Linked DNA regions of Saccharomyces cerevisiae S288C. The gene in region 1 interacts genetically with each later gene. Each region holds a gene or a part of one and is shown on either strand. Other genes may lie near its edges.

What was found.
Region 2: mutations in FPR4 (region 1) and TCM62 together harm fitness more than expected from each alone (negative genetic interaction), as found in Saccharomyces cerevisiae (2 studies listed by BioGRID).
Region 3: mutations in FPR4 (region 1) and ISC10 together harm fitness more than expected from each alone (negative genetic interaction), as found in Saccharomyces cerevisiae (2 studies listed by BioGRID).

The regions. Positions count from the first base shown.
Region 1 is NC_001144.5:1,029,125-1,032,544, reverse strand, and holds FPR4 (peptidylprolyl isomerase FPR4), read right to left. Parts: upstream 1,712-3,420; coding exon 533-1,711; downstream 1-532. Other genes in the region: 60S ribosomal protein eL6 RPL6B, read right to left, coding at 2,777-3,292. UniProt on the Saccharomyces cerevisiae protein: PPIase that acts as a histone chaperone. Histone proline isomerase that increases the rate of cis-trans isomerization at 'Pro-17' (H3P16), 'Pro-31' (H3P30) and 'Pro-39 (H3P38) on the histone H3 N-terminal tail.
Region 2 is NC_001134.8:323,761-327,739, reverse strand, and holds TCM62 (Tcm62p), read left to right. Parts: upstream 1-1,680; coding exon 1,681-3,399; downstream 3,400-3,979. Other genes in the region: QDR3 (Qdr3p), read left to right, coding at 3,795-3,979. UniProt on the Saccharomyces cerevisiae protein: Chaperone. Required for the assembly of succinate dehydrogenase subunits. Ensures mitochondrial gene expression at elevated temperatures and prevents heat-aggregation of the ribosomal subunit VAR1.
Region 3 is NC_001137.3:549,090-552,307, forward strand, and holds ISC10 (Isc10p), read right to left. Parts: upstream 1,439-3,218; coding exon 635-1,438; downstream 1-634. Other genes in the region: recombinase DMC1, read left to right, coding at 1-428; SLO1 (Slo1p), read right to left, coding at 1,776-2,033; YER181C (uncharacterized protein), read right to left, coding at 2,384-2,707. UniProt on the Saccharomyces cerevisiae protein: Indispensable for spore formation.

The DNA.
Region 1 (3,420 bases):
GAAGTGTCTTACTATAACTTGCTCGTACAAAATATTCCCTTTGGTACTCCACCTCTTCAAGATGTATCTGTGTGGTAGGTTCTTGAGGTGATTTAGAAAACGGCCTTCTGATATGTTTGACTAACCCTTGAATGCAACATCTTATTGTTCTCGATTAACTTTTGTCGCGCTGTTGAAAGGGATTCAACAAAACAATGCGCTCGTCTCTAACGATCAATGGTCTATTTATCGTGTAAGTATATATGACATAAACTTTACATATTACGAAGTCATTTTTAAAACTCGAGCTCCTTTTACTCAAAGCTTCTATATTTTACTTTGAGGTCTTCCGATAATTGTATTAGTACTCTCAGCCAATATATGCATCGACAAGTAGCTGGGCGGCTATATCACTAAATAGCTCGCAAAAAAATATTGCTTTTTTATGGCAGAAAAAAACATGTAAAATTGAAAGATAATATTAGTAATGGAAGTATAGATAATTGTATATAGTATTATAGATACATATATCAATACGTATGCATTAAGGACCCTATTTCATGGAGACCAATTTAACATCAAATGTCAATTCAGAGTTAGCAGGAATACCGGGCAAAGCTTGTTTACCGTAGGCATATGGAGCAGGAATGACAATTCTACGCTCACCACCGACCGCCATACCAGCAACACCGATGTCCCATCCTTTAATTACTTCGCCTTGGCCCAACTTAAAAACAAAAGGCTTACCCTTTGTATTCTTGTCAAAAACTTTCCCGTTCTTCAACTTACCAACATATCTCATTCCAACTCTGGTACCCTTTTTGGCATGTGGGCCTTTTCCTGTGACGCGGTCTTCAATGATAATACCGCCTTCCAGTAGCTTCGTCTTTGGCTTTGGTTTGCTCTCTTCCGAGTCTTTAACTTTCTCTGCTTTCTTGTCTTTCTTGGTCGTTTGTTTTTTCTCGGCAGGTTTAGCACTTTCTTCCTCATCTTCCTCATGTTTCCTTTTACTGTCCTTCTTGTTGTTTTTCTTCTTTTCGTCCTTTTTGACTAATTCATCAAGACGACTTTCGATGTCACTAGCATCTACTAAATCATCAAGATCGTCATCACCGGAACTTAGTTCCTCATCGTCCTCTTCTTCTTCTTCTTCTTCTTCTTCTCCATTGGAAGATTCTTCGTCACTGTAATAGTCTTCTTCATCTTCGTCTGAATCTGAAGAATTGTCGAATGGATGTTTGACGTAGTTACCGGTTAGAGAGATAGTGTATGAACCGGTAACGACGAATTGAACGTCTTCCTCTGGTGCAATGGTAATATCCAAAGCTTGTTGATATTGGCCTTTTGGAGATAAGGTTAAAAGAACGCATTCTTCGAATTCATCGTCGATTTCGTTTTCATCTTCAGAGTCTTCTGATTCACTTTGCTCGACTGCCTTACCTTTTTTTGATTTGACACTCCTTTTTGGTACATCTGCTTCTTGTTCACTTTCACTTTCATCCTCTTCGAGGCCGTCATTGTTATCTTGGTTGTAGTACTCACCGCGAGTGAGTTCAGGATTCCTTTTGATTATTCTTAAAGTAGATGGCTTTTTGTCATCGTCAAAGGGCTCAGGGTCGATGGCCGCCATTGTGATTCTAATGGTAACCGGAATTTTGAAGTTCAGAGCTGGGGTTGGGGAGTATGGTTCAACATTCAGGCTATACGTAGCCAATGGAAGCATATCAGACATGGTAGAGACGTATATTTTGTTGTCTTTTTCTTTTTTCTTATCATTCTAACATGAAAAGCACTTCTTTTAACACTGTAAAATTTTCAATGCCCTTCTCTTTTCGATGCACCAGCTAAAATTTTCACTGCCTCGGGTTTGAGATAAAAATATACATAGGGCATCGAAGGCAAGAAATTGAGAAATTTAACGTTCATATGGGTTAATGATTGTATGAGAATGTCTGACGAAGAATATTATTTTTGCTGAAGTTAAACTAAGAATTAGAATTATGACTTGATACACAATGCTACTTTCTTTTGGCCAAGCTATTTGATATAAAAGTATACGTAAATACAGAAAAAGGCAACAGTATGCAGGAAGTTATTCGTAGTTCTTTCGTCACTCGAAATAAAACGTACAACAGACTTAACTTTTACGCGTGTATTAAATATCAACGCACTAATCATACACCCCACTGAGGCAGGTTTAATCACAAAAATGTTGAGATTATTTGCCGCAGCAAACTTTAGCATCTGCACTGTAGTTGCTTCCCCAGCATCCACTTAGTATGGACAAATTGGGTTGTATGTTTACCTTTTACATATATAACATTATCGCTGGCAGGTTACAGAATTTATATGGTGGTTTTGAGAGAAGTTAACACATTGGGAGGACGACTCTGATTATACCTATTGCAATGGCTCGCTAGGACAGCATTTCCTCCACAGAGACTTTGCCTCAGTGCGGTTGGAGTAGACCATGCAGCTTCCAATGTAAATGAATAGATATAGCCTAGTGGCCCAGAACGGCGATGACCTGATCTTGAACCCTTAGATATTAATATTTATGATTTTTTGTATTTTGCTATGTAAGAGAAAAAAAAAATTATAGATACAAAAAGAAGGATATAGAAAAGCACAGATAATGTTGATAGGAAAAATGAATTAGAAGAGGATTAAACTTAGATTACATATCCACTTACCTTTCCGTTATTGTCAAACAGTATTTTCAGATCAACGCATTCTCTATCAATTCTCCTTGTTTTGAAATTCTATTTTAAATCATTTATAATTTTTTCAGTTCAATTTAGAATTTCAATAGGTGTGGCTTGTCACCGTTCTTCAAAGAGAAAGAAGCGGACAAATATTGCTTCAACAATGGGGTCTTCTTGATTTCAGCCAACAAAGCCTTGTCAACAACCTTTTGATCTTCAACACGTTCAGTCTTGATTTCCTTAGTTTGTTGTTCTGGGAACAAGTTAGCTTCCTTCTTTTCCTTCTTGGTCAATTTTTCCTTGGCAAAGTATTCAACGTTGAATTTTTCAACGTTGACACCTTCCACGGAGACTTTGGTAGAGGTAGCAATGACATAACGAGCGTTGACTCTTCTCAATGGAACACCATTGACCTTGAATGGACCAGTGACCAATAGAGTGTTGTCTTCTAGATGTTTCAAGTAGACAACTCTCTTACCTCTGAAACGGCCAGCTAGCAAGATCAAAACAGTGCCTGGAACTAGAGAGGCACGCAACTTTTGTGGGCGAACAGCCTTTCTGGTTTTCTTTGGGGCAGCAACGTCTTCGGAAGGATACCACTTTGGGGCCTATAATTGACATATCGTGATGTAAATCACATATATAGTTAGTATACTACTCGTTTACTTTTTTCTTGCACAATTGATGGTGGGCATGGCGTGTGCTGATTCAGCACAAGGTTTGGTACTATCCTCAA
Region 2 (3,979 bases), on another chromosome or scaffold:
TGTTATATAGAATACGGCTTTCTTTATGTGAATTTTGATATATTGGTGGATTTTGTCATAATTTTTGGGATTTCGTTGTTGTTAAGGTTATAACATTAGGAATAGAGAATATGATAAAGGTTCTTCCCCAGGATACAAAAATTTACAAAAGAGATTGATACTTTTACGTAATAAGGCTACTATTTCTTTCTCCATTTTATATATTGTCACCCATTGTCCTACTATATTTTATTTCAGCTTCCCAAACATCTGATGACTGTTTTTCAATCTTTATATCATCTTTTTTACACTGTATATGATAACATATAATAATATGACTACTGGTAGACAGATGAAGGTTGATTTTGAGATATTGGTGAATTTTGAGGTAATTCTTGGGGTTTTTATTGATTAAGGCTATAATATTATGTATGCAGAATATACTAGAAGTTCTCCTCGAGGATATAGGAATCCTCGAATGGAATCGATACTTCTACATAATAATATTACGATTATTCCTCATTCCGTTTTAAATGTTTCATTATCATATTACATTATCAATCTTTGCATTTCAGCTTCCTTTAACTTCAATGGCAGTTTTTTCATAGCTTATGTCATCATCTAACATCGTATATGATAATACCAGTAGTATAACTATAGTTGATGGACGATAGTTGATTTCCATTCCAACAGATTCTTATTCCAACAACTTTAATATTATCTTCTTGATGTAGTTGCACATAATATAGAAATACTTCGTAGGGAATTAGCATCCCCTCAACTTACAAAACATTCATTGAATTTACCAGTTATAGGGCATGCGTAATGCTTTTAGATGAGATATCCAATGTATACAACTAACCGATATCCAAAAATGACATAGTATCGAGTTCCGGGTCCAATGGTCCAGTGGTTCAAGACGTCGCCTTTACACGGCGAAGATCCCGAGTTCGAACCTCGGTTGGATCAAACTCTTTATTTTTTTAAATTTGCTACTTTAGGTTCGTAGAAAGTCTCTAGGAATGAAATTATATCTTCTGCGTTCGAAAAGAGTAGCTTTAGTTGAAGAAGTTTTGATTTGAAGTGCATTAATGTCTTCCGCTATCTGTGGGAGTGAAGGCATCATTAGAGATAGATCTCAGTGATACCTAATAATACAAGAAGTAGAAATAAAAAATGTGCCCCTAAAAGTACTACCAAGGTATCCGAATTGATTCCTTACGCAGACCTCCCCTATCACAAAATTGAGATGAGGAAGTAGCCAACCTGGTCCTATAAACGTTTAAGGGCAATACGACCGAGTTTTCATTTATTCATTTATATGAATTGCTCTGTCGTGTTTCTCTCTCGGTTCCAGCAGTAAATTTAATGAATCCCCCAAACATTACGGAGCATTCATTACAGATCGGTGGCACCGTTGTATGGATGTATTGCCTTTTTGGAACAATACATCTACTTGCCGAACGTTATGTTTTAGATGGGTCCGCTTTTAATAGTTTAGGTAATTCTTATAGGATTGAAAATCTCGGTAACTAAAATCCGTTATGGCTTAAAAAAATGTAAAAAATAAAGGCCCTTTCTTCCATTCCCTGTGAAACAAAAGTTTCGATAGTGCGATAGTTTACCTTTTACGAGCTTTAACCTGGCGTTATTTTCTCCCACACTACTGTAAACATAAAACTCTCTTATGCTTTAACGAGTATGCTGAGGAATTGTTTGAGGAAATTGGGAAATCATCAAACGAAATGTTCGGTAAAAACGTTACACACCCCAATCTATAGAACAAAAAACCTTCAGGTTCTCAGAGATACGCTCTCTGGTATTAAGCTGTTGGAAAAAATAATAACTTCATCCTCCTACAATAAAACATTGATATATGAACCTAAGTATAAATCCAAGCCACAGGTCGTTAGTTCTCATGATACCATGAGACTTCACAATGTAATGCGTGAGTTACTAGATTCCCTACAAGTAGATGAAGCTACCAACACACGACTTCAATCAAACAGGCCTCGAAAGCTGGGGAGGGTTGGTCTACAATTATTCATGGATTGCATTCAGGACAACTTAACAGCAACTTCAACATCTTTGACATGCTCTTTACTGGAGCACTATTTCAAGTATCCCGAAAAAGAAGTGACCAATGGGATCAAGGCCGGATTACGATATATCAGAGATTTTCTTGCGAAGAACAAGATTATAGTGAAAAGTCAAAACGATGTTGATGCTCTGGTCGAGCAATTGACTATGTCCTCCTCAGACAGCCAAAGCATCAAAAGGGTTTTGAAAGCCATTAATTATGAATTGTTTTCGGATGACATTGTGCGGGTCATAAACGGCAACAAAACTTACGATGAGGTTGATGTATCCAAGGGTTGGAAATATCCAGCTGGTATTTTAGATAGTAATGAAGCCTATTTAAGGTCCCTGGAGTTGCCTACTAAGAAATTAGTTTCCATTGATAAAGATATGCTAGTTCTTATGTATGATGGGACGTTACGAGACGCTAATAAAATTCTACCCACGATAACGTATGCAAGAAAGTTGAGAAAATCTGTTCTCTTAATCGTTAACGGAGATTGCACAGGTGATGCATTAACATCCGTTACAATTAACAATAACAGAAACAAGAGAGAAAATAATGAAAGCCGAATAGTGGTTTTGAAGTACTCTAAAAAGGCGAACAATGACTTAGCGCCACAGGAGAATCTTGATTTTATAAAGTTCTTACGGTTGCCTTGCGGATATGACAGCATCTACTCACCAGAATATAGTCCTTTAGTGCCAAGCAAAATGTGTGCGGATAAATATTACGGCAGTATCGAATCCATAAAAGCGACCACAGGGGAGGCATTCTTATATAACTCCATTGATGCTGAAGCGATTCCAAATAAAGTTCCGAAATCCTTCCTCCAAAATACGGTCACTTTAAGCATTGGTGGACATAACGAAATCGAAATCGACAGAAGAAGAAATGCAATAGATAATTGCTTAAATAACGTCCTATGTCATGGGCTGGCCAAAGGTTTCATCCCAGGTTACGGCATCTCCCTACTGAAGGCAATTCCAGGTTTGAATGAACTGAAAGCAAATGAACCCAATTTCATGACTAAGGTAGGCATCAATGCTGTTTTATCAGCAGTTATTCTCCCATCAGAAGTGGCGTTTAAGAATGCATATGGGTACAACTATTATGAGATCAATAGCCTGATAGCAGGCGCTATAAACGAAAAATCGTTTCCAATGGCCAAGTTTTCTCCAAATTCAGAACCGGTGAACACAGTAAAGGATGGAAACTTGGAGCCATGGAGCAAAATGGATTCTTGTTTAGCCGGTGTAGAAACGTTCATTGAATTACTTACAAGCTGTAATACAATTATCACATGTGTATACAAAAAGCCTGAACGGCACAAAGCCTAGATAAAGCCCTTACATACTTTTAAATAGTCAGAATGAGTCATTGTAAATAGATATTGCCACGGCGCTGCCTTTTATCACTTTTACCTCTTCGTAAATATCTATTATTCCTGCTCAATTTCTCATATGCGGCTTCGGAAAAACTCGGGTTTTTCCACGCCTCAGCAGTAACTCCATCTACCTTTGGGGATTTGAACCATCTCATTCCAGTTTTGGATAACTGCGATTAGATTAAAATATTAAAAGATTATCGATTAGATAAGATAGAAACCAACAAAATTTGTTGTAATAGCTGTGTCCTTGTATCCTTAAAAGAAAACAGGGTTGAAGGCATATGTATTCACATCTTTCTAACTTGTTAACGTCTATGCTAGGACCGAAGTCAGAAAGCGATAAACATGCAAGCCCAAGGTTCACAATCGAATGTAGGGTCTTTGAGGAGTAATTGCTCTGACAATTCACTACCGAACAATCATGTTATGATGCACTGCGATGAAAGCAGCGGCAGCCCGCACAGCGAGCACAACGATTATAGTTACGAAAAGACCAATCTGGAAAGTACGGCATCAAATAGTCGTGAACA
Region 3 (3,218 bases), on another chromosome or scaffold:
ATCAAATGGAACTTGTTGAACAATTGGGTGAAGAACTTAGTTCTGGAGATTATCGCCTTATCGTGGTAGATTCTATAATGGCAAACTTCAGAGTAGACTACTGCGGTAGAGGTGAACTAAGCGAAAGACAGCAAAAGCTAAATCAACATCTTTTCAAATTGAATAGATTGGCAGAGGAATTTAATGTTGCAGTATTTCTGACAAACCAAGTTCAATCAGACCCAGGTGCTTCTGCATTATTTGCCTCGGCAGATGGTAGGAAACCAATTGGAGGGCACGTTCTGGCACATGCGTCAGCAACAAGGATTTTGTTGAGAAAAGGGCGTGGTGACGAAAGAGTTGCCAAGTTACAAGATTCCCCAGATATGCCTGAAAAAGAATGTGTCTACGTAATTGGTGAAAAAGGTATTACCGATTCAAGTGACTAGTTTTTGTATACTTTTTTAATGAAGATGACATTGCTCCTTTATTAAACTTTTCTTTTACTTTGTGTTACTAATATTATTAATATCTTGTTATGATTCTTTGTTTTAGCAGCTCCAAAAGAAAGGAATATTATAATATAATTGTTGTAATTCGGAAAAAAAATATTAAATTACTATGGTGCATATGCGTATATAAAATTGAGCATTACCTAACGCCATATATTACTATCTAAAGTCCTCACAGATGATGTGTTTTCAAAATCAAATGATTGGAGCTCCTCATCATCATCCCCGGTAAACTGCTCGGTTTCAGATCCATTATCCAGATACCTCAACGGGCTAGTGTACGCAATTGAAGGGTACCTATAAAATAAAGTACGTTCCTCTTTCAACTGAAAAAACCCCCGATAATCCCTTGACAAGAAATAATACATAATATAATCTCGCTTTCTGACAAGACTTTTCAGTTCTTGGTACTCTAATTCCCGTTCGAAAACCGGATATGTGCCAGCAATTTCGTCAGTTATTATAGCGTTTATAATAGCCTCGTAGTCATCGGGCTCAATTCTATTTTCGTAGTTGAACAGACGGTAAAAAGGGCTACAGTCATAATTATGCTCGCATTCCTCGAGAATAATATCTGAATCAGATTGTAAATGTATGATATTTCTTGGCGTTACAACAATAGAATCCTCAGGCCCTGATATTTTCTCTATAGATGGGGAATCCGGTATATAGTCAAGGTTGATATCTGTTAATTCATTTGAATTTAGGTTAGCGCGAGCTTCAATTTCGTTAGGCTTCTTGAAATTTGCCTTAACTGGGATTTGCTTTGCCAATTTTTTGTCATCTAGCTTTTTTCTATGATTGAAATTTAGGTCACGAAGCCTTATATGTTCAAGATCCTTGGATTTTGTAGCAGCTTTTTCCTTTATCAAGAAACTGCTTGACTTCTTTTGCGAAAAAGGGTGGGTTTGATTTTCATCTTGATGCAACCTCTCATCGACATCCATTTTGTCACTGTGTCTGAGAATCTATACTTCAGGGCCTGCTACAAGAAGTAGAAACTAAAATACAATGTTACAAATGCGAGAAGGGTTTTTTTTATGATCATGAGTGACCGCAATAAAATCTTTCGAAGCTTTTTCGAATATTTTAACATTTTTTCTCTATAGCTTCTTTGTGGCATCGCCCATGGGATCAAACCATACTGGTTTCTTTGTAAAACAGGCGCAAAATATAGAAACTCAGAAAAAGAGAAAACGAGTAGTGGAAAAATTTATCAGCCATTTATGCGACGCATCCGTTTGACTGATCTACCTATTTAAAACAGAAACCTACGTTGAAAAGTTATTTTTCCAACACATTACTGGATCTCATCAAATTGCCAATGTAATCTTCTAGATAATCATTTTCTTGCTTTAGTTGCTCACACACCTCTTGCTGCTCTAAGGTTTTATTCCACAACAAGTCTAATGTATCCTTCAGAAGTTTGGTTTGGCGCATCATCCTCTCATTTTTTGTTCCAGCTTCTCTTTCGCCAAGATTAACTTCAGAGGATGGCTGCTTGCCCGTCGGCGAGCCAGTACTAATGTTCTCCGCTGACATTGTCCTATTTGTTTGTTTGCTATTATAATTTATCTAGTCAACAACTTCGCAGATCTACAAACTGGTCCTTAAGATGTTTTATTGAAGACATCATTTTTTATTTTTTTAAGCAGAACGTGCTGTGCTCTCCCTTTTGGGCCTTTTTACGATTTTCAAAAAAATTGGTCTCTAGCGGGATCGAACCGCTGATCCCCGCGTTATTAGCACGGTGCCTTAACCAACTGGGCCAAGAGACCTGTAATCTGTGTTAAACCTGCATAAATTATGAAATCATAGCAACGTTTCAAATACTTCAGATGCCCCCATCCCTTCGTGTAGATGATGAAATGAAACTCTAGAATATCATCCATTTAGTAGCATTCTTGCTGCTGGTATAGTATCATATGAGATCTAGGAAGATGAAATGAAGCTTGAGAAAGAGTTAGCAAGTTTAATGGAAGCTGAAATGCAAGAATTGATAATGTAATGGGAAAATGAAGCATATAAAACGATAGGAAAAATAATCGTAATATTATTGTATGCAAATACCGATTAAATTTGAGGATCCCTATACCCTTGAGGAGAAGTTCTAGTATGTTCTGTATACATAGTATTGAAGCCTCTATCAACAATGGAATCCCGATAATTATCACAAAATTCACACAAACCTCAGATAAACGTAACAGTATTAGCATACATAATTATACCCAGGCTTCTCCCACAGTGCGCATGATTCGCTACGAAATCATCAATTTCACATAATATTGAGATTGCATTTGTTTTTGTTTCTTGCGTTGTCACTTTTAATTCTGCTGTATTATCAACTCCTGCACTTAGCTTCTGCAAGATAAAATGACGACTTGAGCATCATTCTCAGATTCAGTTGAAAGTTGCTGACGATTTTCAGGGGTCCCATTTCTAGTAAAACGACATTAGACATATACTAGAAGTTCTCCTCAAAAGATACAGGAATCAATAAAAGAGAATCGGCAATTCTAAATAGCATATTATTATTACTTCTTTTGCTTTGTAAGTTGTAATTTACAATCCTATTACATTATCGTTTCTTGATTTCAACTTCCATTAGATTTGATTATGACTGCCATCATTTTGGGTCACCGTACGTGAACATTGGTTTGCAACAGGAATAAAAGTCTTGAGATGTTGTACTCTGAGCAAATAAACAAAAGGAATTCTTTCTAATAT